Regions from separate parts of the Mus musculus genome. Here all the other regions are reported to be linked to region 5. The links are microRNA targets in miRTarBase. Many come from high-throughput screens and were not tested one by one. Region 5 holds a microRNA gene; each other region holds the end of a gene's coding sequence.

Region 1 (4,220 bases), not on the chromosome of region 5:
TATTAATGAAACCACCAATGTACTTTAAACTTGCCATAACTTATGACTTTCTGTGTTCTGCAAAACTATAAAATTTCATGAAACACAAAAAGCTCCCACAATGAAACACAAAAGTTGAGGTAATTTAAATCTGTGTTACAGGGCAATAATTACCAATAAAATAAAATAAAATTTCCATAACAAACTACCCCTTGCTCCCTTTACAAAATACATCTTATGCCAGGTGTAGTGGCTCAGGCCTTTAATCCCAGCACTAGGGAAGCAGAGAGGCAGGAAAATCTCCTGTAAGGCCAGCCTGATCTACATAGTAAGTTCCAGGACAGCCCTTCACAGTGAGACTCTGCCTCAAATAAATAAACAAACAAATAAACATATATTAAAATGTATTTTATTAATGAGACTAAAAATTTTAGGAGGAAATCCCAATTTCCCCCGGATCAATATTTCTCAAACATGATAATCAAATGAGGTGAGTAGACAAATAAGATTTTCATATATAAACAACACTTAAGAAACTATAGACAAAACTTGTCTTTGGAGTAATAAAAAAGAAACCAAGGGTATTGGTATTGATTCAAATAAGGTACGTATCAGCAGTCTTTTATTTTAAAATGTAATTAAAGTAACATAACCCCTCTCTTTCCTGCTGCGATTGCAAAGGCCCACACCATGCCCAGCTGGCTCTCTTTGCCTCATAGTTCTGGATCAGATTGCAAGCAAGCATTCAGCTACCACCCCAGGACCATGCCTGCTTGCCTCTGCCACGCTCCCCAACATAACAGTCATAGACTCACCCTCTGAAACAGTAAGTACCAATGAACTCTTCTATAACACACCTTGGCCAGGGATTGTCACAGCAATAGAAAATATATACACATATGCATGTATATAACCTGTCAAGTCCATTTAGTATTGCTTGTATGTATTTAGGGCTGACCACTAGGGACTGGATAACCTATCAAGAGACTTTTTCCCTGGGTAATACTGGGAAATTTATTTTAGAGATTTGGCCTTGTAAGATATCCTCAATCCATTTTGGCATGTCAGCTGATGGTGTCACTGTGCTAGTCTTGTTCAGGTGACTATATTGTTAAAATCTGACAGGGGTGCGACTCTCTGTCACATACAGGACTGTATCTCGTTGCTGACATCATGGTCCCAAGACTCTCAATTTATTACTAACGACAACCATAAGCAATGCTGGTATTAAATGTACACTAATAGCACAAACTATGAACACTGCAAAAAACGTCTTACACATATCTAATCGTTTAGAAAAATATGGTTGGCAGAAGGCTAGGTGACTACCTCCATCCAATACATTCATGTACTGAGATGGGGCAGTTTGGTACTTGGCAGCAGATAGCCAAAATACATTTATAAAGGACCAAGAGGAACACCTGAGTGAAGTAACAAGTGCTAGTCTTATTGTTAGGCTTTCTCTGAAAAGACTTCCTATAGCAATACTGTGTTTCTGCTGACAGCATTTCACTGTATGTCTCAATTAGGCAACCTGATGTGAGATACGAGATGCATACAGATTCTTGGTTTTTTTTATGGCTGACAAAATAAATATTAGTTTTCTAGTAAGCATTAATGGATGGCTAATGATTAGACAGCCAAGGCTACATATTCTTCATGTTCTTTTCAGGAAAATTGTTACATGTAAATATACTTATTTATATTTATAAATATATATTGATATACTATTTTAACAGAAAATAGCATTTTAGCTTGATGGTTTACATCTCAACTATGCATATTTGGGTTTTTTGTAATAAAACTTGTGACACATGTCAGCTTCCCACTAGCATTCACCACTTATAACTTGAATGATGTGGGATGTTTGTATGTTGCAACAAAGTTACAGAAATCATATGAACAACAAAAAGTTTGATGTCTGGTCCTTTGCAAATGTGAAACCACTTTTACTCCGTTTTTCAAGTCAAATAGGATGAGACCATTTACAGCCAAGACGAGGCACTTTAATGATTACCAAAGAGGCTAAGTATAAACTACAACTTTTCATGTTCATCTTCTTCTCCATTTCAGGTGTGATTAACAACTTCAGGATGGTTTACAGGTATTATAAACGTTTACTTTTTTTGTCTTTCTTTCACTTTAAGTCAACAAACTGTGAAATACATAAAATACAGACATTATCACAGACCAGTTACTGAGCTCACATACACATGAACTAAACATTACTTAATGACACAAGTTTCAGAAAAGGACTATTTCAACACTACTTCAACAACATCCAGAGTTTGGTTTTTTTTTTCTCATAATTACGTATAAGTACATTAGTATCCAAAGGCAAACCTCTGCACTATATAGGTAAGAATGCCCTCAAATGTATTAAATGAATTACAAGTTATTAGTCTTATATATGCTTTTAAAATAATGAATTACAAGATTAATGTGTGGGGATGGAGCAGCAGTCTTATAGAGGCCTGGGCTCAGTTCCCATCACCCACATGGCAGTTCCCACCAGCTGTCACCCCTCTGCTGGGCACCACACTCACTCACACGAATATACACATACATGGAAGCCAAACACACATAAACATAAAACAAAATAAAGTATTTAAACATTAAATTTGCCAATATTAAATGTTTTAAAAGCTTAGAACAACAAGTATTTGCTTATCCAGTCTTTTGTGGAAGATCTTTCAAACAAACAGCTGGGACAACTCATTTTAAGCTTAAATCATGTTCTCTATCTATATAGAGTGAATGTTTTGGTGAATTTAGATAATAGATTTGATTCTAATTTTCCATATTTTTTAATTTTTAAATTAAATAATCTCCATGTATTATAATTTCCAAATTTTTCTGAATTCAGTTTTAATACCTGCATTATTAAAGGAAATAGTTGACTCTAATGTTTAGGTTTATGCAGAAAGTTAAAATCTTGGCATGAGACCAGGTTTAGTGGTACAGGCCTACAATCCCACCATTTGGAAGGCAGGTACCCAAGGATATCAACAGTGAAGCTAACCTAAAACCAAAATATTTGTAAATCTGTTAACTACCAGTGATAGGTAAGAGTACTGGGTGTTTATAAATTGGGTTTTTTAACAAATTTGTAAAGCCTAGATACCCAAATGCTTTTTGATAAAATAAGTCAGAATGTACTTGAACTTGGTTAACCATTCCAAATCCATGCATCCAAACATTACACATACATGGAGGTTTCAAATCCTGTCTAAACTCTCCATGTGTATAGACAGTACTCCTAATCCCTGTGGCGTTCTGTTCCTCTAGAGATAGAGTAACTTTTAGTCAATGTGATACTAGACACAACTCCTAAAACAAGAGGTTAGCAAATTTTCAAATAAAAAGAGAGAGAATGCATTTATATAGAATGACGAAGACTTAAGCTTGGCAAAAGTAGTGACTTTTATTTACAACTGCATGTATCACGATTACACTACAAACACTAGTGATGCCATCTGAACAAAAGCAATGATTTATTGGTACTGGCAACAAATAAAAGATTAACAGTTTCCGAAGAGAATCAAGCAATTATCCAGGAGCTGCAAGTCTGACTGCAGTAAGTCTTCCAGTGTCTTTGTACCCTAATGGCTTTCCCCTTTTTTGCCAACCACCTAGAAAAAATTATAAAAAAAGTATAATTTAATGATTCAGAAATGTGCTTAAAAAAATACTAGCATAACAATTTCAAGACTTTAGTCCTTTTTACCTGGTATTACTTTTTAACCTTGAATCTTTTCTGCATGCAATGTGCTTTTATTGTGGCAGCAAACTGCAACACCCCCTCCCCTAGACACAAGGAATTAAACACATGCAAGCTACTTTTGTTTTCCCATTCTGTCTTAAGAAGAAATTTAACTTTTTCAAGCCAGGTCGACAGTTTAGAGACGTTAATAAAAAAAAAAAGATGATGCTACATGAGTAAACCATTCCTAGTGTACTAGTTTTAGGCAATTAGAAATCTAATGTCAATCTAATGTTTTTAAATGTCAATGTATTTAGAACGATATGCTAAACTCATGTCTTCTAGACCTCGCCTTCAACAGGAAAGCAGATCAAGAATGTTGAGCTCTTTTCTAACTTTAAAAAAACAAAAACCTGGTTGCTAGACATGGTCTATAAGAAATGTAAAAACTAGAGCTTGCATCTGAGTAATTTAAAAAAAAAAAAATCTAGTCCTGAAGGTCTATAAAAAATACCTTAGTTCCTATGAATGCCATAGC
Region 2 (4,220 bases), not on the chromosome of region 5:
GAGTAAAGAACTATCCGTAAATAAAGCAAGTGACAGGAAGTCACAGCCCGAGTCACAGGATTTACCAGTGCCCTGCTCCTGCTGCCACAGCCCCACCCAGTCCTCTCCATCAACTACACTCTGACTCCCTGTCAGTGTGCCTCCCTCAGCTCTGCTCTTGCCTTGCCTTAGGTTCACCTGCTCAGACAACAGGGAAGCATGGTGGAAAGACACCGCCCATGAGAGCTCATCTAGCACATGGGGAGTCATGGCTCCCAGGAGGGAGGGCCTCCTCTAAGAGGTCACCTGGGTTCTTGCTGAGCCACTGGCACTCACTGTGTCCCCTGAATCTAAACAGTCTGTTTAAGGAGTGTAATACAGGGGGCTGGAGACAGAAAGCCTGCACGTGGCCATTACACCCAACTATGGGGCTGACTTCATCGCTGATCCCGCCACTGCCTCGGTGTGGGAGGGCATGTCAACACCCCACTGTCGAGGCAGCTGCGGTATAGGCTAATTTGCCAACAACAAACGGCTATCTCTTCCAACTACACTGCTTTCTGCATGAGTATAAAGTGAAAAGTGGACTTTAGTCTCTTTTTCATTTCTTTTGGGGGTATTTCAAGCGCTATTAAAAATGGGGTCCTTTTCAAATAAAACTAAAATTAAGAGTTCTAAGGCTGCAATCAGATAAGTGTTACCTCTGGTTTATGTGACATGACATTGGTGTGTTCCATCGAGAGTTTCAGGGTACAGGATTATCCAAGAGCACATTAGCAGGACACTGCTCACAGTGCCTGGGGCAGATGAAACTGAGGAAAGAAAAATGCACATTGCCTTTTTCAAAGGAAAATAATTAATGCATATGTCGTTTCCTAAAGTCTTTTGATGGAGAAATCTCTTTAGAGCTGGGAAGGGATGCAGCCAGAGCATCTGAATACACGTTGGAGCGTCTGCCATGTAAGCCGCACAGCTTGTAAACTTACGTCTGAGTGGTCAACAGGACAGATATCAGAAAAGGAATATACTCCATCACTTACTGTTTATGAAAGAAATAATACTGATTAGGGCCTGGGATCCTGGCAGGGGGAGAAAGACCAAACTGGCTCTGTGTTACCTGACATAAAGACATCAGAGAGCTGGAACATCAGGAGTCAACTGTGAGGAGTGTGTGCCGCCACTCAGCTCACTACCAGAGAAAGAAGCTGACAATTCACAGGGCTCTGGATACACAGTACCACTGATTTTATTTGTACAAGAAATGACTGGTCACTGAACTTTTCTATATATTCCTAATCGTTACTGCTGTTACCTCAGAAACCAGTGAAATCTATCCCCAGCTTTAAAGTACAAAATAGTAAGGGAAAAAAATCTAAATAAAAATAATGCAACCTTTAATCTGCCAGGGTCTCTAAATTGTTACCACTGATTATTATAAAGTATACAATTTATTTATAGTTTTGTTTTTACTTTAAATAAACATTTGCTCTTTAGTTTTGGGGCAAGGGACATGCTTGGCAAAACACAAAAAGCAACAGAACCTACAACATTGAGTGAGCTTTTTTGGGGTGGGGGATGGGGGCAAGGTGTTGTTAAAAATCTCAATCGAGAAAGGAGGAAAAAAATGGAACTTTGTCAGAATAAAAATGGAAGAAACTTTGTAAACGGAAGCTGGTGAGTTAATCAGTAGGATTTTAGCAGTGCTGTAACTTTAGTGAGTAAGGGTTTGATATGCAGGAGGAGCTAATGACAAGCACGAGCTAAGGGGCAGTAGCCAAGTTTTAAAACAATGTAAGTGTTACTGCTGTTTCCCTAGTCACCGGTTTCTTAGTCTAAAGTTCATCTGACAAGGGCACACGTTCATGGCCCTCCTACGTGGGACTTTTATCTAGATCTGAAGGGTGGGGCCATTTATTTACCTTTTCCTGGTATTTATATTAATTTTACTGAATAATGGCTGTTTCTCTACCCTGACCCATGCTGGAGAGAAAATCAAGGGTCTCAAGAATGCTGGGCAGTCACTACTACCAACGATCTAGATTCCCAGTGACAAGCTGATGAGTACCAGATATGAAACCAACCATTTTCAAGACAGTCAAGCGCTGTATGTTTTTAGGCTTCTCTAGAGAATTTATGAAGAAAGGGGGTGAGATAGAGAATAAAGTAGGTATTTATATCCTGAATTTTCTAAGAAATATAATTTAAAAAGTACAACCAGGTTTAGAAGCCCCGAATTTAAAAGCAGGCCATGGTAGGGGTGTCGTAAAATTCAACATCACCTTTTAATACAGCTGGGTTTAAAAATAGCCACCAAGATCTTTTGTGTCGATGAATATAAAGGATTTGTTCTAGATGCTCAGAAATACAGTCCCCACAAAAGACTTTTAATTTGATCAAATTCTGGCTGAAGAAGGTGAGACCAGAAGGGGAAATGTCTAATAAAGTGTGAGGGGCCTGAAACAGGCCTGTCTTTCCACTGGTAAAGATTACAATTCTACATGCAGAAGCACGTGGCAAACCGTCATTTTTGTGACTGGTATTTGGGTGACTGTATCCTGCACCTGTTCCTAGAGAAACAACAGTCAGAGCCTTTTCTCTGGATTTCCACCACTGGGATGCAAGGGGGATGCCTGCCTGGTCATGACAGTGATGCTTGGGACTCTAGAGCAGCAACTTAAAATTTAGCAATAAAACTTTGGTTTAAAGTTAAAACAAATGAGGGGAAAAAAATCAACTAGTTGTTTCCTGAAAGAGGTGTGTGGGGTTGACCCTCCGCAGTGCCAGTGAGCCTTAGTTCCTCCTGCCTCCCTTCACAGGAGTAGCATTCATTTATGGTTAAGTTTCATAAATAATGAGAAACTGTATGTAACGAATACAGCATATTCCCCACCCACCCGAAGCCCTCCCCAGATGAGAAAAGTCACATCGAATTAAAAGTAGCTTTGTGGAGGAGGTGCTGCTCCAAGCTGCACTTTCCCTGCAAGTGCTGCCAGTGTCTCTGCACTGGCTATGAAGGAAGGGAAAAACTCTCCATAGAAACTGACAGAAAATTTAAAAACCGGTGTCCGGTTTCAGACAGTCAAAACCGGCCGGCGAAGCTGAGCTCTCTGGGCTGTGCATCAGACGTTCCTTCCAAAGCTTCTCTTCATCCTGATGGGCTTCTGTATCCTTGTGATTGTAAACAATCCGTAAGATAGTAGGTGTTTGTTCCTTAAAACATCTTCTGATTGGCAAAATGAAGTATTTGTTTTAAAAATAGAAAATGAAGATTAAACCAGAAGAAAAGAAAAGAAACACAGTGAGCTTGCTCGGAGTCCATAGGACCCGATCTGAAGAGCCCGGGAACGTGTTCTGTTTTCTCCTGTTCTCAGCTGGAAAAAGGTGCTGGAGGTTGCGTTGGTCGAGGAAAGGATTGTAGAGTAGAAAACCAAGGATGTTACTCTAGACTTCAGCGAATTCAAGTGTTAGCTTCGTCATCTGTGTCTTCTATCAATACCTTAGTGTCGCGAGCCTTGGATCTAGCGTGATCAGAGGAAATGAACATGTATGATCAGTCCCATGCAGTGCTGCTGGGTCCACTCTTCCCACTAGCAAGCACGCACACTACCCAGGAGCTATGTACTGCAAGTGGAGAGGTAGGAACAGCAGTAGGCTGAATTAAAGACGGAGCAGTACCCGGAAACAAGGATCTGAGTTTGAGCACTGGTACAGTGATAGCCAGGAGCCTCGGTCAAACTGTTAGCGCTGCTGATTTAGGAGGCTGTGCAGAGATTCTTGTACCGAATAAAAATGGGACTGGGTAACCCGACACTCGTTAGCCTCAACAGTGAAGGCAGTGTTTCTGACAGGAGATCTGTTACTCCCACTTGACAGATGGGGAGGCTGACATTCAGGAGGCTAAGGCTGTGCTAAGGCTGTATGAATCTATGACGTCAGAGCTGAGACTCAGGTCTCACCTTAGATTCCCTGCACTCTTTGTACCTTAAGCCTGTTCTTCTAACTGCCTTCCTCTGGCTGCCATCTAGTTTCCCAGCGTTTCCCTGTAAACCCCTGAAATGAACAGACTAGCACCAAGAGCCTCCCTCTTGATCAGAAACCATGTTTAGACTGCCCTCTGCTGGTAGCTATGAGACCTTCACGGTGAGGAGCTCTGGTCTGTCAGCCTTTTCTCCAGGCCTTGAGGCTAGCCACCTCCTCAGCACCCTCTTACCCACAGCGCTCCTGCACCCCAGGTTGCCGTG
Region 3 (4,220 bases), not on the chromosome of region 5:
GATGGCATAGCAGTTAGGAGCACTGACTGCTCTTCCCAAGGTCCTGAGTTCGAATCCCAGCAACCACATGGTGGCTCACAACCATCCATAATGAGATCTGATGCCCTCTTCTGGTGTGTCTGAAAACAGTTAAAGTGTACTCACATATAATAAATAAATAAATCTTTTTTAAAAAAGTCTTTAAGTCTTTAAAAAAAAAAGGACTGTAAAGATGATGACTCAATGATTAAGATTTCACACTGTGCATCTAGAGAGATGACTCTGCAGGTAAGAGCACTGACTACTTTTCCAGAAGTCCTGAGTTCAATTCCCAGCAACCACATGGTGGTTCATAGCCATCTGTAATGGGATCTGATGCCTTCTTTTGGTCTGTCTGAAGACAGCTACAGTACACTCATATACATAAAATAATTAAATCTTTTTTTAAAAAAGTACACACTGCTCTTCAAGAAAACCCAGGTTTGATTTCCAGTACCCATATCAGGCCTATAACCCCATCACCCTCTTGGTCTCTGATTAGTGACAAACTGGCAAGCTAGCTCAGTAGTTAAAAGAACTTAAAAGAAAAGTGGTTAAAACATTTTGATGAGACCCAGGTTCAGTTTCCGGTGCGCGCGCACACACACACACACACACACACACACACACACACACACACACACACACACACACACAGTGCTCACCACCATTTGTAACTCCAGTTTCAGGGACTCTGTCGCCCTCTTCTGGCCCCTGGGCACCAGGCCCAACATGGTACACATGTATACAAACTTCCAGGTATAACAGCACTCATGAACATATAGTAAAAATTAGTAAGTTGGGGAGGGAAACATAAAAAAGCCCTCTTCACCTGCAAATCTCTTGTAGGTGTTCCAGTGGCTCCTCACCCCCCCCCCATCTCTCACATTCAAATCTATTGTTAAATCCCCCTGTGACTAGTAAATATCTCAGACATATAGGCACTCAGTAAGAATGTAGTCTATGCCCTTCCCAAGATAGCTATCCACTACTGTGCCTTTGTAACTTGCCATCCTATGGCTGCCTTTACTTTCTGGTGTTTTCACGGTCTCATCTCTCATCTCTTAGGTAATTGCTGGCTTTAATCGCCTTCGGCAGGAACAGAGGGGCTTGGCTTCCAAAGCAGCTGAGCTGGAGATGGAATTGAATGAGCACAGGTAGGAAGGCCGCAGAGAAACAGAGTGATTGGATGGAGGCTTGTGGGGATCAGGACGCATTCTGAGGTCTTGTTCTCCTACCCTAGCCTGGTGATCGATACACTGAAGGAAGTGGATGAGACCCGCAAGTGCTACCGCATGGTTGGAGGTGTGCTGGTGGAGCGGACTGTCAAAGAAGTGCTGCCTGCCTTGGAGGGCAACAAGGAGCAGGTGAGCAAGAATTCCTCTATAGGCGTTTGGGCAGCCAAGAGGTTAAATGTAGGTGACTAGGGATTTAGGGAATTCATGTTGATGGTAGCATGCAGCCTGTTAGCTATCTACTGTGCCCTTTATACTATTACAAAGTTGAAGTCCAACTCCTTAAGTGAGGAGTTGTTGGCTGTGTGCCCTTTCCATGGGCTCTTTGATGTGGTTGAGTGGGGAGGGAATGGGTAGAGCAGTGTTTCTCACAATATAGTCTGTGGATCCCTGAGTCAGAATCTCCTGAAGAACTTGTTTAGCAGTGTTGGGCATCAGACCCAGGGCCTCATGCGCAGTAGGCTAAATACTCTTCTCATTGAGCTACACCTCCAGCCAAGGACCAGTTTAAAATGCAGCTTCTTAAGAGCTCTCGATCCACGGAACCAGACCCTTAAAGAAACCATAAGTGACCTTTTAAAGGGAGAAAGAATCCTGACTGGGGTGGCATACATTGATGTTTAACTTGCTGAGATGATGAGGCAGAGGAATCGGATTTGAAGCCTGCTTGGGCTAACTAAAAATCAATCACTTAAAAAAAAAATGAATGTGACCTAAGAGAAGAAACCATAGCATGACAAATGCTCTTTTAAGAGCAAGCAACCCACCCTCCCTGGGCAGGGACTGAGGGTGGAAAGTTGCTGGAGAGGGGACAGTAATTGTCTTAAGTGATGTAGCTGCTGGTGAGCCACTAGTGCTCCTGTGGGTATCTCCATCCATTCCCACAAGGGTGCTCCAGGTTAGACTCATGGGCCACAAAACAAAACAGAGAAATACGATTATGAGATGGGATGGGTTGGTGGCAAGTGGATGAGAGTGGGCTGTTTGATCATATGCTTTTATAACATTATCAAAGAATAATGAAAATAAGTAGCTCAGATGGTTCCCCTTTATAAGCCACTGTGTTCTTGTCTCACTGCCTCCAACTGTAGCACAGTCCGGGGCAGAGGAGGGAGACCTGCACTCCTTCTCCATCCTCTCTTTTGCCTCTTAGATACAGAAGATCATTGAGACACTGTCACAGCAGCTTCAGGCAAAGGGCAAAGAACTGAACGAATTCCGGGAAAAGCACAACATTCGTCTCATGGGGGAAGATGAGAAGCCAGCAGCCAAGGAAAACTCAGAAGGGGCTGGGGCTAAGGCCAGCTCAGCAGGGGTGTTGGTCTCTTAGGAGCTAAGGCCTCTGCGGGTTTTTTTTTTTTTACCCTGATTCCCACTTGTAATTTCTTTTTATTGTCGTTATTATTATTTCTCTGCTATTGTAATATTTTGTTTTTGTTGTTGTTGTTGATTAAATGTTTTGGTCAAATACTTAGCTATAGCCTGAACCTTTATCTCATTTAGGGCTACACCGACCTCATAGAGCTGGGTGTGGTGCCACACATGCCTTTAATAATCTTAGTGCTTGGGTGACAACAAGAGGCAGATCTCGGAGTTCCAGGCCAGCCTGGTCTACAAATCGAGTTCCCAGTAATCCAAGGCTATATATAGACACAGTGAGACCCTGTCTCAAACAAAACAAAAAAATATGATTTGCATTGTTTCTACCAGGTTAATGGCTCACTATCAGAAAGGAACCTCAGTTCGGTCTTTCCTTTGCAAATAAAGTAATCTGTTTATTTGATGCTCTTCTAAAACGGATTCAGAGGGCTGGAGAGATGGCTCAGATGGCTCAACAGTGAAGAGCTCTGTCTGCTCTTCCAGGGGGCATCTGTTTTATTATCCCCAACAACCACATGGTGGCTCACAACCATCTATAATGGGGTCTGATGCCCTCTTCTGGCACAAAGGTGTACATGCAAATAGGGCACTTATATAAGTAAAATGTATAAATCTTCTAAAGGATTCAGAGACAAAACTCTCGGATTGAAATTTAATAAGTATTTGAAGTAGGGCAATAGCTCTGATGAGATCGCTTTGTAGGTTTGCCACAACACAGAGTGCCTCCCTGCTGTTCTTTAGATGAAGAATTCCAGGATGCAAACCTGTGGGCTAGCTGTCCTGCCGTCCTCACCAAAACCCCCAACCAAATAAAGCTGGTCATTCCAAAGGCAAGTCCGATGGCCCACGCGCTTCAGTCCACGGTCTGTACTGGGGAAGTGGAACCACAGAGGCGGAGACTTGCCTGTGGGTTGAGAGCAGAAGGTGGTTACTGTGGCATTCTGCTCCGGCCTTACCCAGTACGCATGCCTGTCATCGTTCCCGTTTGATTTGTCAGCCTTTTCAGATGTTCAGTATTTATATTGTCTATTGTATTTTGTTTTTGAAACAGGGTCTCACTCTGTCACCCTGGCTAGTTTCACACTCTAGATCAAGTTGGCTGGCCTCAAAAACTACCAGAGATCTGCCTGCCTCTGCCTCTGCCTCCCAAGTGCTGGAATTAAAAGTGTGAATCACTATGCCTGGCTCTATTTTTTGTTTGTTTGTTTTTCAGCAGTCCACACACTTTTGCCTCCTGAGTAGCATACATCACCACAACCGGACTGCATTCCTTTAACTCATCAACTGATTTCTCCTCCTTTCTATCCCACCACCCCTGTTTTGTAATTTTTAGCTGTGTCTTTTTCTCCTCCCTTTCAAATGATAGCTTGGCGCTCACGGGTATCGTAGATGTAGAGATCATTGCAGATCGTATCTCTAGCTCTGGTCAGAGTTTCTCCGCCAAATAGTACAGCGAAGGGTCCCACCACTGAACAGGAATGATGGCGCAGGCTCTGGGGTCCTTGCTGCAGTCCCTGCCCACTGCTCACAAGCCTTGCAAGCTGTTCCCTCAAATGAGGGGCAACTGGTTGTTCCTCCTTGGGCGAG
Region 4 (4,220 bases), not on the chromosome of region 5:
TCTGCCTGTCAGCTTACAATGGGTTCCTTGCTATTCCAGCATCAGATCTTACTTTCCTATACCACTGTATCCTGATTGTCATCCTCCTCGGCACTTACAGCCCCTCAGAGAAGCTCCTTCAATGTCCCCTCACCGCTAGAGTGCTTGGCTATAGCGTCCTTTTGGCATGAGGAGAGGCCTAAGAACTAAGGAGTATATTGCCATTGGAAATCAGCTCTGGCAACTACAGTGAGAAGACACACTGGCTCTAGAGCCAAAACTTGCTATCCCCACTCTGCTCTTCCTGTCTCCCCTGCTTCTGGCCAGCTGTTCCTTGGTGCCAGACATTATCCTTGGCATGTGGACTCAGACAAGAATGCATACAGCCTCTCTTTTCAAAACTCCATCAGGGAACTCTCATGCAGCCCTCATTTCTGCTATACTACACCAGATACAAAGTACTGTCTCCTGTGTATCCACCCCCTAGGAGGGGTAGCTCACAGAGCACAGAGCCCTGGAGGTGATAATAGGGTCCTGACCCGAACCAGGCAAGACCATTTCATATATACCATCTAAAATAGCTAGACTCTAGCCATAGATGACTCAGACCCCAAGCTATAGTCTAGCTTTGCCCAGGCTGGGCACACACAAGGCCCAAACAGCCAGTGAGACAGGACACCATCAATGGAGAAGAGCCTTGTTGTCCCCAACCTCAACCCTACCCTACTGGGGCCTCAGTCTGTGGAACCAACCCCAGCCATGTTACCTAGCTACTCTGCCTGAATCTTTCTTCCCCAGATATGTCTCAAAGTGGCTCCGACTTGGCCTTGGACCATCAAGCCCGCTTGCACATCCCACCTTACTACTAGTATAAGTCGTCACCTCACTACCCAGCTGCTCCCAGCTTCACCTGGTCTCTCAAGCCTCTACTCAGGCTTCCCTCTCCTGATAAGGAATAGCTACAGCTTACATATGTCATCACTTATCAACACCCCCTATTGACTTATGATATACCACATTCTTTTGAATTCCATCCTTGTGTGTGTGTGTGTGTGTGTGTGTGTGTGTGTGTTGGCAGATCCTCAGCTGCCTTGAGTAGCTCCATCTTCTCTTAGAACCCTCCTACCACAGCTTCCACACTCTTGGGTTGCAGAGGCAGTATCATTAAATGCTATCTGAATGGAAACTAAACGGAAACTTGATCATAGGAGTTATGTCCTATCACAGCTTAAGACAGCCCACCCTAGGGAAGAGGTTCAGAGAAAGCTGGCTCCAAAGAAGCTGGGTACTGTGGGTGAGCAGAGCCGTGATGAAGGAGGGCAGTAGTCTCCCATTTGCCTTACTTGAAAGGAAACTAGGTTCCTGGCTTCAAATTTTGGTTTCATTGCTCACTGTGCTCATCTGTGAGGTAGCAATTCTGACACTTCCCCCCTGATAGGCTACTTGTTACCAACATTACTTGTCAGAACAATGCCTGGTATACGAAAGTCTGTGATGGTCATCTTCGTGGCCTCCCAAGGCTGAGTGGCAACTGGATCTACCCTGTAGCCCTCTTATTTCATGCCTCACACAGCACACTTGCCTTCCTCTACCCTTCCTCTAGGAATTTCTGACTTAGAGGTATTACCCTTGCTTGAGCCATAGGGTAGGATAGGAGCTGCTAGCCAAAATACCTACATGCTCCTTCAGATCATCTGATCGCCTACTAAATCATGGTTTCCTTAGTGAGGAAGTAGAAGCCTAGCATGCAGCTTGGAGCTTCCTGACTGAGGCGCTCCTCTCTGGGAGCACATCCATCTGGTGGCTGCATCTTGGTGCCTATGTGTCTATTCCTCTGAGATGTAACCCACTCATCTCTGTATCCCCAGACCTGAGTCTAATGCCTAGCACAAAATGGTACTCAGAGTCTGTGAACCGCCATGCCCCAATCTACACATAAGGCAGAAATAGGCAGGGCTGGGGAGTAAGGAGGCCAGAGTCAGCTTTGCTCTTTCAGGATTACTGACTGGGCTAATGTTCACCCAGAGGGAAAAGACCCCTGCTTCAGCTGGTACAGGAGGGTCTTCTGGCATCTATACCTCTGTAGGGAAGTGTGCCATTATAGGAGAGACCAGAACCTGGAGACTCCTCCCATGCTCCTGGCCATGAACTTCCACTTGCAGGCCTTAACTCTAACATGCCCAGTCTTGCTTACAGACTCTCTGCTCTCCTGTCACTATGGCTGAATCCCGGGTGTAACCTCTCTCCCTTCCATACCTTCTAATGTGTCAGGAAGCATCTTTGGCTCTACCTTCAAAATGTGTCTAAACGTTCACACTGTCTGATCTGCCCCGGACTAAGGTCAATACAACAGATCTATCTCTGTGGCAGCCCTTACAGCTTAGCATCAACCTAATAACAGACTACCCCAGCTCTCTAATACCCCTTCCCATTTCAGAGGAGGACAAAGCCCATGCAGTGGTCTGCAGGCTCCAGGCAGTAGCTGTCCTCTCCCCTGGGTTGCTCCCTCGGCTCAGCCCTCCCTGTAACACCCTTAGCCCTCTGCTTGCTCCTCACACATGTTGCCCCTGACCTTACCCCAGAGGGAGGCCACTCATCTCTAATATCAACTCAGGCTGGCCTCGAAATCTTCAGTTCAGCTACCATCCCTGTACCTACCTACTTACCAGGAAATCTAGCTCCAACTCTGTGTATCCAACACAGTGCCGGAGGCACTAAATAAAAGGAGGGCTGGGCGGAACAGCCTGAGCAAGAAGAGGCCCAATGTGGCCTTCATCTCTGGCCGTGACTAAGCTGACTGGTGTGAGTAACATCAGGGGACAGGCAGAGGTGGACTTGATGGCCTGGAGCATTCCCTCAGTTCCTTTTGGAGTCATCTGCTCTGCCTGGGAGAACACTTAACCCCAAAAGTGGGACTAACTGCCTCAAGTTGTCAAGCAAGGCTAAATAGAGGTCAAGCCTAGGCAGACCAGGTCTGGTTCCCAAACTTCCAACACTGTGTGTCCTCCCGCTGTGTTTCCTCTTGCTAATGTTCCTTTGAAAAATACCTGCCCCTCCTGTCCTGGCTAAGCTAAGGCAGCTACTGGGGAAGGAGTCAAGGAGGAAGCTCGCTTCCAATAGACCTGGGCATGCAAGAGCCAGGGAGACTGGGAGGAGGCTTAACCTGAGGCTCTTCCTCCCCGCAAGGCCTGAACTTGCCATCTGCCCACCTAGGGTCCCTGGCTAACTGGGCTACAATGAGAGTCTGAAGGCGCAGGCCCCAGGCGCTGCTCTCTTTCTCAGAGGTTCCTCACTTCTACCCCTTTTGGCCTGGAGGCGGAGGGGACGGCCAATCCTGGTTCTGCTAGGATGGCCTTAGTTCTATGCCTGTGATGCGGACCTTGAGCCAGGAGTAGGTTGATCAGGGCGCATCGGGTCCAAGGCACAGGTGAGGGCCGGGCCCAGGAAGGCCTCAGAAGGCGACGGGTCCATCCAAACCTCCCGTCCCTAAGCCCAGCCGCCATGGTTACCTGTGCGAGTCCTGGTCTCCCCCGGGGGACGCTCCCGCCGGCGCTCAGTACGGGCGATTGGCGTCTTTGGGCCGCTTCAGCTGCACCTTGAGCCTCTTCATGCCTATCTGGAAGCCGTTCATGGCCTGGATGGCGGTCTGTGCGCTGGCCGGGTTGTCGAAGCTCACGAAGCCTGGCGAGACACGAGGGACCAGGGCCTGGGTTTCCACGGGGCCGCCCGGGGCCGCTGCAGGCGGGAGGGGAGGGGAGGGGCGGGGCTCGAGGCTCCGCCCCCGGCCCGGCCCGGCCTCAGCCCCGCCCCTCCGCCCGCAGGCCCCTCCCGGCCTGGCGCCCCGGCCCGGGCTCGGCTGCTCCTCGGCTCCCGGTGGCGCCGGCGCCCGCCCACCCCCCACCCCGGCCGGCCCGCCACCTCGGCCCTCTCCTCCCGCGGGAGAGGGCGGACACACCTGCGGGCGGAGGAGCTTATTGCACACTGTCCTCCCTGACAGGAGGGGGCCTGGCAGCGGGAGGGCACGGGGTGCCGGCCTGGGGAGAGAGAGGAGTGCGAGGGCCGGGAGGGAGGAACGTCGGGGAAGCCACTCCACCGCCCGGTCACCCCCACCAAACCCGCCTCACCCCTGGGGCTGTGCGCAGCCCTCGCCACTGTGGGAAACTTCCTAACTAAGCACACACCTCGCGATGAGTGCTGTACGACTTCCTAGGGATGTCGAGCACCTTCCACTACCGTTCTGC
Region 5 (4,220 bases):
CATCCTTCCTCCGCCAACAGTTCACTCATCACCTGAACCATATGCTATAGAGCAAACTCCTCCCTGGGTGAGACAGCTCAGAGGAGGAGGTCAAGCCTCCCTAGACATCCATTCTTCCGCCCTCAGACCCTGCTTCGCATCCTATTTGACAAGTTAACGTTTGCAATGTTCTGTGTCCTGTGAAGTCAGGTGGCTCACGGAAGAATGGAGACTGCACTTTCTTGACTCCAGAGGTCTCAGCCAGATGAGGGAAGCCTGCTTCCACAGCCTCATGGGCCTCTGGTGCAGCTATGGGTGGCAGGAGCTGCTGCCTAACTTGTTGGGGTGGGGGACTAGAGGAGAGGGGAGGATAGGCTTGCTCTGCACCCAGCCAGAGGTGGCAAAGGACAGCTCTACCACAGATCCTTCACCAAAGCTGTGAAATGGGCATCTGGTTCCAGTGAGATCTCCACTTACCTGAAACCCATTGGCAAGAACCCAAGCCAGACACAGCCAGGCACAGGGCTCAGTGACCCATGGGGACAAGGGACTTGATCCCTGAACAAAACCCACCTTAGGCGACAGCTTTGTTTTGCTTTAGTGGTTCCTAAGAACAAAGAACAAAACCAGACTAAACCAGTGCTTGGCTGCTCTCTCCAGTTCAGAGGAGGTATGGGCCACTGAGGTTCTCAGAGGGGCCTTACAGGGTGTGTGGTTCTTAGTCCACCTCTAAGCAAGGCCAGAGTGCTTCTGAGAGCAGGAAGGCATAGACTCAGCCATTTATTTCAAGTCTTCACAGAAATCAGGGTAACATTAAGTAGAATTAACACACTTTGATACTTGTACCATTGTGGTATACAAAGCAGATAACCATTTGCAAGTCCCCTGCAACCATCCAAATGCAGTCACTGCTACAGCCCAGGCTCTGAAAACCAATGGTTCTGTGCGGACGCTCCTCTCAGTCTGTCCTAGAGCCTTTGTCACCCAGCAGGTCTGGGTGCAGAAGCCTGGCCAGCCAGTGGGATGCTCCTTCTGGTTCCTCTGTCCACCGCTCTGCCTTGGCTGGGCTCATGTGACTGCACTGATGGCTCAGTCTCAAGCACCGTTCTCTAGACAGTGACTGAAAGAGCTTAGAGCTTGTTCTGAGACTCCGCTAGTACCAGGCTGGCTGAAACTCCACATTTGGAAGAGAGCAGAGTCCCAAGCCACACTAATTTCCCTTTACTTCCAACCTTTTTAGAATTAACATTACCTGGAGGTAGGAAGTGTGTGGAAAGTGCCTGTTCTGACACACGTTCTTCTTTGCTTTTAAGGAGCATCAAATTCAGAAGCAAACTGGAACACTAGCAAATCTGGTACTTTATTAAGACATTTTAGGCTTTCCTGCATTTTCAAAAACAGGAATGCTCTGTTGACTGAACACATCAAAAGGGCTTTGCAGAATCCTTGGGGACCAGCCACAGGAGGTGTCACATGATTCTGCAGTCTCAGAGCATGGCAGCTAGTTTTTGCAATCACAGGAAGCAGGCAACCGGCTCTCCATCTGCCTAGGGGAGGGTGTCCTTCATTGAATGACTGCCTTAAAGTCACAGCTCAATTCCAGTGTGTAGACTCAGTCTCTCTAGGACTGGGAACAAAGGCAGCTGCCAGGTGCAACAGTTTATGAGGCTCCGCCTTTTATATATGCCACGGGAGCCCAGTCTCTGGAAGCCCAAGATGGACCAACCACTGCTGTGGGCTGATGGCCTTAGCAGCCACATAATCCTCCCTTTGATGTCCAGGGTCAGTGCAGTCCTGGCCCCACCAGGGCTAGGAGAAGGTATATGAGAATCTCACTGTGATCTGTCCTGTGGAGGAAACAGCAATAAAATTTATTACCCAGTCACCACAGCCATTCCAACAGGAGTCCTCCCAGCCTCTGACCTCCACTTGAGAGGGAACTTTTCATGGGAGGACAGGGGCAACACTGAAGCCACACCTCACAATCCTGGGTCTGGGGTGCACAGTCACGGCACAGGCCATGCAGGGCTGTGAAGCCCAGAGAGGTTCAGAAAGGCTCTACAGACAAGGCCCTTCAGACAGGCATTCTCACTGCTCAAGGCAGCGGTGACATGGTGTGCTCTGCCCCAACACGTGGCAAATGCTCAGCGCCTGCCCTACCTGCTTCTAGGGAATGCAAACTTTCCAAGGTTAGCTCTGCACTCTACAAATCCCCACCTCGGGAGCACATACAGAGGGATACCACTGCTGTTGGGTCTGGTACCAGACACTCAGGCCCTTCATCTTCTTCTCCGTGGGAGGCCTGCCTCAGGCACTTACAGATGGGTAGGCTTTTTGCTCAAGGGCTCGACTCCTGTTCCTGCTGAACTGAGCCAGTGTGTGAAATGAGAACTGATATCAGCTCAGTAGGCACCGGAGGGCGGGTCCAATCACAGCTGGGCAGTGCCTCCTGGCGTGCCCTGGGCATCATCTTGCCAGCGACTGTGGAGACATGGAGACCTGGACTGCAAATACAAGAAAGAGTTCACCACGCCCAGCAGGGACAAAGAACCACACCCCCACCCATCACGTGTGGCATCAGCTGAGACAAGGTTGGCTCAGTTTCCTTGATGCACCTGGGTTTAGTTTTCTGTGACTCCCAATACACTTGACATTACAGTGAACTAATTAGCAGTAGAACTGTATTTTCTGTAGACACACTTAAGGGTGGTCAGCACGCTGTTTGCACTCTTGACAACACAGCCTTGAGGCAGGCTGGTCTCTCCTCCTCTGGAGTGACCACCAGGCAGTGGCCTCTGCCTGGCAGCTGCAAGTTAACTGTCCCCATCTCACCTTCTCTTCAGGTGCAGAACTTAGCCACTGTGAACAAAGCGGAAACCAATCACTGTTCACCAATCAGCTAAGCTCTGCACCTTGTTAGAGAGGTCATCGCCGGCCATAATTAAAGGGCTGGTGAGCATCTTCGAAGGCTGTTGGCTTCTTTTGTTTCCAAAGAGCCACAAGGCGCCTCTGTTCTCCAAACTGCAGAGAGAAAGTAGCCACGGTTCTGCAGGAGCAGCCAAGGTCATGGTTGCGTGGTAATCCCTGGCAATGTGATTTTAATCTCAAGTCACAAATCAGCATGCCAGGAACCCAAGCAGCCAGAGCAGGTGAGGGCAGCACCATGCCCAACCACTCCCATCCACATGTGCTGAGTGTCCTCCAAACCGCCTCTGAGCCCACCACGCTAGCAGTGCAGCCTGCTGTCCTTCAGCGCGCTGGCTGCACTGTATAGAGGAGCATAGGGGACTGGGAGACAAAGGACACACTTATCAGCTATGAGACCAATACCTTAGGGACCATCCTTGCTCTGAGTATGTGGCCTTTAACCCTGGGACACACCCTGTTCTCCAATTGCAGACTGAATGGGTTGGGATGTCTCTGGGCCCCTCAGACAGCAGGTGTGGTGTGTAGGGAGGGAGCATCTCTCTGGCTTGCCTGTGACCAAGCATTTGGTTGGATAAGCTGAGGCATAGCACAGAGCTCATAGGGGACCTAGCAAGTTGAGGATTTGCTCACTCAGGGGGCAAAAATACTCTTAGAAGAGTCACTAGGACCACTATGTGACTATGGCTTTCCTAAGTGAAGGCCTAGGGACCTAAAAAGGGAACAGTGGCTTTACTGTGTGACCTTCACACACCACATACCAACAATCCCTCAGCTTACAAGTTTCTAGAGAAATGTCTGCAGGAGGCAGTGAAGAGGCGCCCCGACCGACTCTGTCTATCCACACAGGCCACCGTCCTAGCTTGTAGTGTGCAGGCTTAGCAGGCTGTACCTGCTTACTCCAGCCCACTATCTCCCCTGCTTGACTGTGGCGGTCCCCAGCTCTTCTGCAACAACATGGTCATACATAGTAACATGTTTTCCCTTCATCAGTGTAGTTCTTCAGAAAAATAAACATTACACAGAAGTGGGTTTTATAAAAGTGAAATGTGAAAATGTAAATTTAATGTCTGACAATGGGTTAAGATTAGCAACACAATTCTAAATATTCATTAATTGGTAATCATAGAGAACAACAGAGTAACACAGTGATTGATGTAAAATTTCAAACATATACAAAAGTAAACATCATATGTACCACCATGGCAAGCGATAATGTCCTGGGATGATGTAGAGATGATGACTGGCGACTATGAAAGAGACGCACTAGCCCACACCTGTCTCAGAACTCCACGCCCTGTGGCTGAACTGCATTA
Region 6 (4,220 bases), not on the chromosome of region 5:
CAGGCAATTGCATGCACGCGCTATCACATCAAGCTCCATATAGGTTCCAAATGTCCTCCTCGTGCTTGGTGAGCAGGGCTGCCCCAGGTCCCCCTCCACAGTCCCCACCTCTTGTGTCTACCCCTTACGCTTACACCATGGCCAAGGAAACATTTCCATGAATGGGATTTAGAAACAGTGTAATCACAGTGGCCAGAGAAGTCCCCAGCCCTACGGGAAGTCCTACTCCATGCTGGGCTTTTTGTCTTCTGTTCCCCCTTATTCTTTGCAACTCTCCCCAGAAGGCCGCCCCGTTCCTGTCCCTAAGGCTGTCTGTGTGCCGTCTTTCTTACAGGAAGCCCAGAGGAGAAGGCAAAAAGTGCCGCAAGGTTTATGGGATGGAAAACAGGGACATGTGGTGCACCGCCTGCCGCTGGAAGAAGGCCTGCCAGCGGTTCATTGACTGAGCCATTCCTGCCTCTCCTTCCAAAGGAAGCTACTCAAGGCCCAGGGAAGGCCCTGCCTGGAATCCCAGGAATATAATTCCTTGGTGGAATTAAAGCAAAACAAAAACAAAAACAAAAACAAAAACACAGCAAAAAATCAGCACTGCACTGCTCTGAGAACCAGGCGAGAGCGCCAAGGAGGACCTTCCTTCGAAGGAAAAGCCCGCTTCCTTAGCTCTCAGTCTGGTCTTAAAGCTGGTCTTCTGTAGCAGCTTAGCCAACCAGGCCCATTTCACCTAGAGAGAAGGCACATTTTGATAAGCTTTCTGAACTCTGGCATTTTCGAGGGTTTTTGACACTGAAAACAATATGCCCATAAGCTACACAATATACCCATAAGCTACACAGTCTGAGGTAGCATTTGTATAAAGGATAGTACCTACCTTGTGAATAGGCATCTCTCTGTTTTTCCGTGCGACTCCTTGGATCAGTCTGATCATGATGTATTTCAAAAAAGAGTTTTTCTATGTCTGTTTTGTTTTCAAGAAGGACCCCAAGTGGAACCATTGTAAAGATGTTAGCTTGGAGGCCCTGAGTAACTTACATAAGGCCAAAAGTGATTGACAGTGAGTGCGAGTCACCTCAGCCATCACCTGAGGTCAGGACACCAAGAGGCACTGCAGAAAGCATCTGAAAATCGTCCTTGGATCCCATGTGAGTGGTGGCACCACTAAGTCTCTGCCTGCCATGGCTCAGACGAGAGCTGGCGCTAGTAGCAATCTGGTAAACCTTGATGCTGCTTTCAGGGATATCACACACACTGCAGCCTGGATAGTGTGTCCTGCTTGGTTCTGCCAAGACCATAGCCAGGACTCTGGGTTAGCATTCTGCTCTCCAACCCCGCCCAGGTAGAAAACTCCAGACTGGCCTGCAGGTTTGCTTCCAGCAGAGCATAGCTGTGGGAAAGATCCACTAGGGCATCAAGCCAACTTCCATTGTGAGTGCACTTTTCTAGATGGCGAGGGGATGGCTAGGGGATGAGTTAGTGGACTCGGTGACGTATATGGATAATGGAACGCTAAACTTTGTTGTCTTATAGGAATATTGAAACTATGAATTAAGAATTTGCTCAGAAACTAACTTACAGGATGCCCAAAGGCAGATGCATCTTGGTATAGGACTCTCTCCATTGAGTAGGGCCAAGGCTTAGGCTGGGTTCCAGCCATTGGAACCTGATGTACTTGGCTGTTGGAAGGGTGGAGCTTGGAGCAGCTATCAAGCCTTGTAAGGACTTATTCTGTCTGCCCTGCTTAAGAGAGGAGTGTCCTGTACCTATGCATGGTAAGAGCACCTTATAGGAGCCACTAGGTAGGGATGGGGAACATGGTGTCAGCAATATGAATGTTAAATGAACTTGCACAGAGGAAAACTTAATATATGTTTAAAGATTGTACATAGTGCTTTTTTACAGAGTAGAGAAGGCATGTAGGCGTCTGAGACACCTCTTTGTATATAAGGGGTGTATATGGAGGCTCTACAGCGGAACACCCTTAACTGGTGCGTTCATGTATTTTGGCAATTTTATTTTTTAAATTCATGTGGCTTTTTTACCACGGAAATCAAGGAAAACGGGAAAGAGATGCTGATCTTTTCCTTTGGATACTTAAAAGGAAAACAAAACACTTACTTCAAGAGAAAAGAGAAAGCTTTCTCTGATTTCCCTGTAGGTTGATAACCAACATCAGCTATACCACCTGTTCCAGATGCTTTTACCTGCAACCAGGAAACAACTTTTTGCTTTTAAAGTCCAGAGCTAGATTTCTTTCCCCTGGGCATGTCCTCTCCTTATCTCCTGTAGCCTCACTCCCTGAAATGGTGTTCTAGCTGCTCCAAGAGGCCCTGAGCAACGTGGAGATTGAGACATCAACTGTTTGGTCAAGTTCACCATGTGCTTAAATAACAGATGGATCCTAGGCTAGAGGGTTTTCTCCTCAGCAAAGCTCCCTTAATTTTTAAAATCTCAGATGAAGACTTTAATCAAAACATTAAAGTGATGTGAAATTCAATCCACCTTCTCTTGAAGAACTTGGAGGTGAAGGAATGCTGTCGTCTGTGTGAGAGAGAGCAGTCCTTAGGTGCTGAGCTGTCGCCCCCAGAAACACAGCCTAAGGGCAGGTCTGAGCCCGCTTAGCTGCATATTGTCAGCACAATCGTGACACCAAATGCACCTGACCTGAGTCCCTCGTTTTCTCAGAAACCTCCATCGTGCCAGCTCGTGTGCATCCCCAGCCCACCTAGGGCCCTCATCTCCAGGCCAGCCTTAGGCACTGAACATTTCCTTATCTGGCTTCCAAGGTGCAGGCAAATCCTGAGTGCAGCTCTGGACACATGCCCATTCCCTGTGTGGAAGGGTGTAATGCCAGGGACCGGAAGCTCTGAATTGCAACATACAGTTAACTGATTATATGAGTTACTTTTTGTGTGAGTTACATTTCTTAAGTAGTTATTTTGTTATTTGGGGACCCAAACAAAGTGCCAAATGAAGCCTGACTTTTCATTTCATGCCATGTCCATGAAACTAAGTTCTTTTTGTGTCTTCATTTTGTGGAGAAACAGAAAGCATGAGAGTTGGTGAGCTGGCTGCTAGCCTGAGGCTCTGTGCACCCCAGGGCTTCCAGCCCTGTCTGTCAAAGGAGCAGTGATGTAATGAATTCTTGTCCATGGAAATGTCTAGTTCTTCTTCTTCCATGATGAAAAAGGTTTCTCATTTCTCCCGGAAAAAGCATGTCACAGTGACTAGCAGGACATTCTCCAGCCAGCTAGGAAGCAATGTGTGCAACAGGCAATAGTTTCCAGCCTTAGCCTTCCTGGAATATGGACACTTATTTTGTGAAAATCTGTGAGATAACGTGGAGAAACCCCCAGGTAGCATATGTGTCAAGGGGGCAGTGCGGGAGACCTGCACACCCCTATCTTCTGCTCATGTTCTTGGGCTGCTCAGCTAGGACTCCTCCATGTCTGCTGTAGATGTCTGACACAAGACAGGAGCTGCTTCGGCCAGGAACTATCCATCAGGCTCACCTGCCACCTTATGTCTGGGAAGTTAGGTTCTCTGGATTAGCAAAAGCTAGCGCCAGGAAGAAGACAGTGGGTTTCCAAACCAGAGTGGACCTCTCGTGCACGTTGATAGTACCATGTCCAGGAGGCTCCCTTATGAACCTCCCATGACCAAGCTATAAAGGACGATCATCTCTAGAGAAAAGCATTACTGTTGAGCTCTCCAAAAATTCCTTCAGACTTCATGTATGTTGGAAAAATTATTTGAAGCCAAATTGTTCCCCATTGCAATTGAAGATGACAAGATTTGGAGTCTGCCATCTCTGGTATCCAAGAACAAGTACGTCACACTTTGCCAGAAGCCCTGGGCTTAAAGTGAGTAGTGAGCCCCTATAAAAGAGTCTGTTTCATCTCTCACTTCAGCTGCCCTGCAAGACAAAGGTGGCATTCACCGGAGAAGGTTCTGAGAAAAGAGGTGAGAACTGTACATACAAGAATCTGTTGAGCATAGCAGCAGAATACTGTAAATACTACTCATTTCCTCAGGGAGACAAGGATGCTGTGGGAAGAGATCTGGAGAACCCCGAGACCAGGAGGATTTTTATCTCCTCAAGTCTTTTCTTGTCAGAACAAGTTTTTCTTTATGTAACTCTCCGTGTCATTTCAAAACAAATCCGTGTTCAGCTGGACAGGCAGACGACTTCCATGAGGTGTGGCAGAGGGACTGTCTGTTCGTAG
Region 7 (4,220 bases), not on the chromosome of region 5:
ATAAAACTCATCAAGGATCGGAGACGATGGCAGCAATCAGAACAATGCCGCCCCCGACAGAAAGGTGAACTCTAAGACTATCAGTTGTCGTCTTCCCTCGCCTGAGCAGCGAGGACAGGAAACACTGAGTAGAGGCTCACTAACCACGCAAGAGCAGGAGCTGTGAGGAAGGAGGAAGGGAGAGGAGAGCCCAACAACCCCAGCTGGCTTGGGCATTTCGAATGGCTAGGCAGTACTGTCTATCTCAGAAGCCCCGGAGGTCCACAGAGACAGGAGAGAGAGAAAAAGAAATGGTATAATATTCTGATTTGTGTAAATAGCTCCTGCCAATAAACGGCTCATTTTTCAAAAGTTTTACTGCTTAATAAGGCAAGATGATGAAAACTTTCATTCCTCAGGAGTGCCAGATGCACAGCCTCACTGCGCTGAGAAAAAGGCCCTGCCAAGGGTGCTGCTAGGAGTAAGGCCACGGCTTTTTACATACAGCCTACTGCACCGCAGAGATGCGATTGCTTGGTTACTAGAAGGGAAAACTAGAAAGGCCTGGGCAGGAGTCTCACAGCCTTTTCTCTATGTCATGCAAAGGAGGATTTAAAGGGCTAGTTACAGATGGCTCCATGTAACGAGTCCCTTCCAGGCCCCCACCTGGGAGAGTTGTTCCTGCTCCACTCATGACAGTGACCTAACTTATACTTTACTAACTGACCATTAAAGAAAACAGTGATGAAGACCGGATGAAGACAGGAACTACCAAAAACATCTCTGGCCAGCTCCAAACAAGCTCCTTCCAAGGGGGTCTCAGCTCATTAAAAATTTTTAAAAATCTGAAGAGTGACAATTAGCCAGTTACAAGCAAGGCCAGGAGCAAACACATTTGGCCACCACAGATACTTCACAAGCATTCCAGGAAGCTTCCCTTCTCCAGACTGTAAAACCTCTGAGTTACTTCGCCTTCAAAGCTGCTAATATAAACCACACCATTCCCCACAAAACTGGATTTCTAACTTTGAAATACACACAGTTAAGCATGGTTGTTGCTGGATTCTGCAGGTGTGCGCCTCGGCCGGCTCACCCTGTCTGTGAACTTATACTGTGAACAGGAGCAATGGGTTCAGGCAGTATAAAAAGACTGTCTATGGAAAAGCAAGTTCCCGGCAGTGGCTTAGCATCTATCTGTACAGCAGGGGCGGTAAAGGACAACGATTAAGGTAGACTCTATCCCAGAAAAGAATCTACTTCCAAGCAAATAAAGGCAATACCATTACAGATTCTCTTTAATCATGCAAAGAAAGGCACAAGACAAAAGTAGAATGGTTTCAAACTGGGTGCCCACTGAAATTTAATCTTGGGAGACTTTTGAGCTATGACTTAGAAAAAAAACCCACCCAGAACCATACCCACATCATAATCAGTCTCTAAGAACTAGGGAAACTATTTTATCCCAAAATTTTTCAACTCAGGGAAGTTTTTAAAAGTCTTATTCAAAGATAGCGAAGTGAAAGGAAAAAAGACTAGGACAGGCAAATTACAAATTTCATCAATAACCAGAAATCATTTCTATGGCTCTTAGTAAGAAAACCAAGACAAGTGGCTTGGCTCTGAAGAGATACTTCCCAGCAAATATTTCCCACCTACTTTCTGAAGATGATTAAATATGGGAAAGGTTCCATAAGGTACAACAGGAAGCATCAAGTTACAGCACTGCCTGGTCAGATGAGCTGGGTCTTAAAAACCCGTTACACTACAGCTTACTCTCTCTTCTCACTCCTGTTCCCCGGCCATCGTGAAACGGATCTGAAGACAAGCATTTCTAGAGAAGGTATCTTTTTATAATTCTGTCAATACAACATTTAAAAAAAAAAAATCACCAAACTTCTACAGATAAGATTAGGCCCGAGACAAAGCATCCCTAAGTACAGAAGACAAGACACAGAGGCAGCTTTTACAACGCACGCTGTGTGCGCTGGGCTGAGATGGACCCCAGTCACTGCAGCACTCTGGTTTCTCAGAGCCTCTGGAACCTTCCGCAGCAGGCTGCAGGACGTGGTCATTTCTGTTGGCACAAAGAGAACTGCTATGCACGGGGTTTCCAGAGCTCAAATGCCTACTGCAATTTAAAACTCACAGAAAACTCTCAGGGTAAAAACATCTCCATGGTCTTGATTTTATTCACACTATTTATCCAAGTTTTTTTTTTTTTTTTTGCTACAGTAAAATAAAAACTCAAAAAATAACCAACTACACATGATGCACAGTGTCCATGGGAAAGTCCTGGTAGAGTGGGAGGGAACCAGCGCTGCATGGTACAACTGGCTGCCACCTGTCATTTAGCAGAAGGTGTCTTGCCACTGAGACTGGACTCAAAAGTGCAAAAGGAAAGCATTTTAAAAACCAAATCTAGAATTCCACTTCGTATAGTGACTCAGTTTTATTTACGCTAGTAACTAGGTAGAAAGTATACATGTGTGTCTGTGGTACAGTCAATGTGTCTTAACTCCTCCACTTCAATCTCTACAAAGTCACCGCCAAGTGATCAAGGATGGCAAACACAGGGCTTATAACCAAAAGGTATAAAAAAGTCTGCAGTCTTGCCCTAAGATACAAAAACTGAATTTTAAACAATGTCAAAACATACATGATTTTAACAGTATATGAAAAGAAGTCACACATCAAATCAAGTACAAAAATATCCAAACCACCTGTTACCAACTGCACTGTTTCCATTATTCTGCACAGTATTTAACATAGAATTTAGCAGTTTCCAAAATATTCATTATTTCAGTTGAAGTACTGCCACCTTGCAGAACAGTGAAGCAGCAGGCAGAGTGACACTGCTTTTAGTGTTTTATACAAAACCTTCTCCCTAGGAATTAAGGGAAAAATCCCTCCCCTAGGCTTTTTTTTTTTTTTTTAAATAACTAACCTTGTGCCTAGAAATATAGAAGAATTCATTTACTGTTTAACAGGGCAAAGTATACATCTTGATAGTGGTCATCCATTAGGGATTAAAAAAATTGTAATTTTAAATGGCATTTCTTTGACTGATAATTGTAAGGAATTGTCAATATGCACACAGATTAGTGTTTTGTCTTGGGGAAGAAACCCTGAAGTCTGCAAGACAGTATGAATTTAATTCACCTTCACTGTTTAACTTGCAAAAACCATTGTGAATCAAAGGTTGCTAAAAGGTTTTTAAAGGAGAGTAAAGTTGCTCTTGGTAGAGCTGGCTGGCCCAGCGCCACGTGAGCACAGTGCGTTTAATAACTCGCCCACTAAGGGGCAGGTGGCTTAACTGTGAGAACTTCTCAGCCTTACAATCAGCAGCTCTGACTCTCCTCGGCATGCAAGGCGCTCGCACACACTAAAGGGCTGAGCGCCCAGCACTGGCCGACTCCTCCATACAGAACCAGCAGGGAAGACTCAGCAAGAACTGCATCTTTCTGATCTTCAAGCACTGAGCCACACCTGAAAGTTCTAAAATAGAAAAGAAGTTTTAATTCAGTTTCTGTCTGCTAAGAGCAAGGCAGCAAACACATCTCTCAACCCTTTAGGAAAAGACAGAGCAGAACAAAATGCAATAGATCTTCAGATTATAAACACGAGTATATTTCATAGTCCACCATCCTGGAAATGGTTAGGGCGTCCGTGGTGTGAGATCTCAGTCTAAAGGCTGTGGGTCCGCAATGGGCATGGTGTGCAGGACTTCATCCAAGAGCTGCAGAGCTCGGTGAAGGTGAATCTCAATCCAGCACGGGGTTTCCTTGATGCTCTGCCTGGGGTAGTCTGGGCCCCAGCCCTTCACAAAGCTCATCCTGAGAATGCACAATCGCCGGAGGTCATCCACACCGATGCCAGCAGCAGCAGACAGACCTAACGGAAAGAAGCACAAGTGTGGAGGCTGTGAGGGCGCAGGTCCTCTCTTCCCATCCTCCCCAGTCTGCCTTCTTTGCTTATTTCCTCTCAGCATACAACTTCTCTGTCAAAAATGTCAACAGTAACCGCAGATCTAAACCTTATCACGGGTAAGTGAAAATTTGGTTATGACAGTTTATATATGGACTTTAACTACGGGAGGGCAAGTAAATTTCCACATGCCACCAATAATTCCCCTACTCTTCTCTTCAGAAGTAGGGTATAGGAGCAAAACCAACTTCTCTGTAAGAGGCAGGGCCTGTCCCCGGTTGTAAGAAGCCCAGCCTCTACCGGCCAGGCTGGACTGC

What was found. Region 5 holds the annotated microRNA mmu-miR-24-3p (UGGCUCAGUUCAGCAGGAACAG, at 2,333-2,354, opposite strand). A microRNA usually pairs through its seed, bases 2 to 8, with sites in the 3' UTR of a target mRNA and lowers its output. Matches are read on the target gene's strand: a 7mer-m8 pairs with bases 2 to 8, a 7mer-A1 pairs with bases 2 to 7 and ends in A, and an 8mer does both.
Region 1: miRTarBase lists Txnl1 as a target of mmu-miR-24-3p. Seed matches in the 3' UTR shown: 7mer-m8 at 2,457-2,463.
Region 2: miRTarBase lists Xpr1 as a target of mmu-miR-24-3p. The part of its 3' UTR that is shown has no 7-base or 8-base seed match.
Region 3: miRTarBase lists Klhdc9 as a target of mmu-miR-24-3p. Seed matches in the 3' UTR shown: 7mer-A1 at 3,153-3,159, 7mer-A1 at 3,081-3,087 and 8mer at 3,072-3,079.
Region 4: the mRNA of Celf4 is a reported target of mmu-miR-24-3p. The part of its 3' UTR that is shown has no 7-base or 8-base seed match.
Region 6: the mRNA of Zfp704 is a reported target of mmu-miR-24-3p. Seed matches in the 3' UTR shown: 7mer-m8 at 2,603-2,609.
Region 7: miRTarBase lists Smad4 as a target of mmu-miR-24-3p. The part of its 3' UTR that is shown has no 7-base or 8-base seed match.

The regions. Positions count from the first base shown.
Region 1 is chr18:63,660,722-63,664,941 of GRCm38, forward strand. Txnl1 (thioredoxin-like 1) reads right to left here. Exons shown (of 8, transcript NM_016792.4): 8 at 2,080-3,611. The coding sequence ends at 3,582. Among named protein-coding and RNA genes, the nearest start is that of Txnl1, 30 kb to the right of the region's middle.
Region 2 is chr1:155,277,574-155,281,793 of GRCm38, forward strand. It overlaps Xpr1 (xenotropic and polytropic retrovirus receptor 1), which reads right to left. Exons shown (of 15, transcript NM_011273.2): 15 at 1-3,497. The coding sequence ends at 3,437. Among named protein-coding and RNA genes, the nearest start is that of BC034090, 35 kb to the left of the region's middle.
Region 3 is chr1:171,355,444-171,359,663 of GRCm38, forward strand. It overlaps Klhdc9 (kelch domain containing 9), which reads right to left. Exons shown (of 4, transcript NM_001033039.2): 3 at 4,012-4,210; 4 at 3,006-3,537. The coding sequence ends at 3,371. It overlaps Pfdn2 (prefoldin 2), which reads left to right. Exons shown (of 4, transcript NM_011070.4): 2 at 1,087-1,175; 3 at 1,262-1,385; 4 at 2,407-3,811. The coding sequence ends at 2,583. Among named protein-coding and RNA genes, the nearest start is that of Klhdc9, 3.2 kb to the right of the region's middle.
Region 4 is chr18:25,483,306-25,487,525 of GRCm38, forward strand. It overlaps Celf4 (CUGBP, Elav-like family member 4), which reads right to left. Exons shown (of 13, transcript NM_001146293.2): 12 at 3,489-3,660. The coding sequence ends at 3,533. Among named protein-coding and RNA genes, the nearest start is that of Gm32825, 20 kb to the right of the region's middle.
Region 5 is chr13:63,299,385-63,303,604 of GRCm38, reverse strand. Mir24-1 (microRNA 24-1) reads right to left here and starts at 2,397; the gene lies at 2,330-2,397. It overlaps Aopep (aminopeptidase O), which reads right to left. Exons shown (of 16, transcript NM_001289926.1): 16 at 728-4,220. Mir23b (microRNA 23b) reads right to left here and starts at 3,121; the gene lies at 3,048-3,121. It overlaps Mir27b (microRNA 27b), which reads right to left and starts at 2,893; the gene lies at 2,821-2,893. It also overlaps Mir3074-1 and a transcript of Fancc not described here.
Region 6 is chr3:9,435,013-9,439,232 of GRCm38, reverse strand. Zfp704 (zinc finger protein 704) reads left to right here. Exons shown (of 9, transcript NM_133218.2): 9 at 335-4,220. The coding sequence ends at 446. It overlaps C030034L19Rik (RIKEN cDNA C030034L19 gene), which reads right to left. Exons shown (of 4, transcript NR_160691.1): 4 at 2,000-4,220. Among named protein-coding and RNA genes, the nearest start is that of C030034L19Rik, 34 kb to the right of the region's middle.
Region 7 is chr18:73,636,600-73,640,819 of GRCm38, forward strand. Smad4 (SMAD family member 4) reads right to left here. Exons shown (of 12, transcript NM_008540.3): 12 at 1-3,870. The coding sequence ends at 3,659. Among named protein-coding and RNA genes, the nearest start is that of Smad4, 65 kb to the right of the region's middle.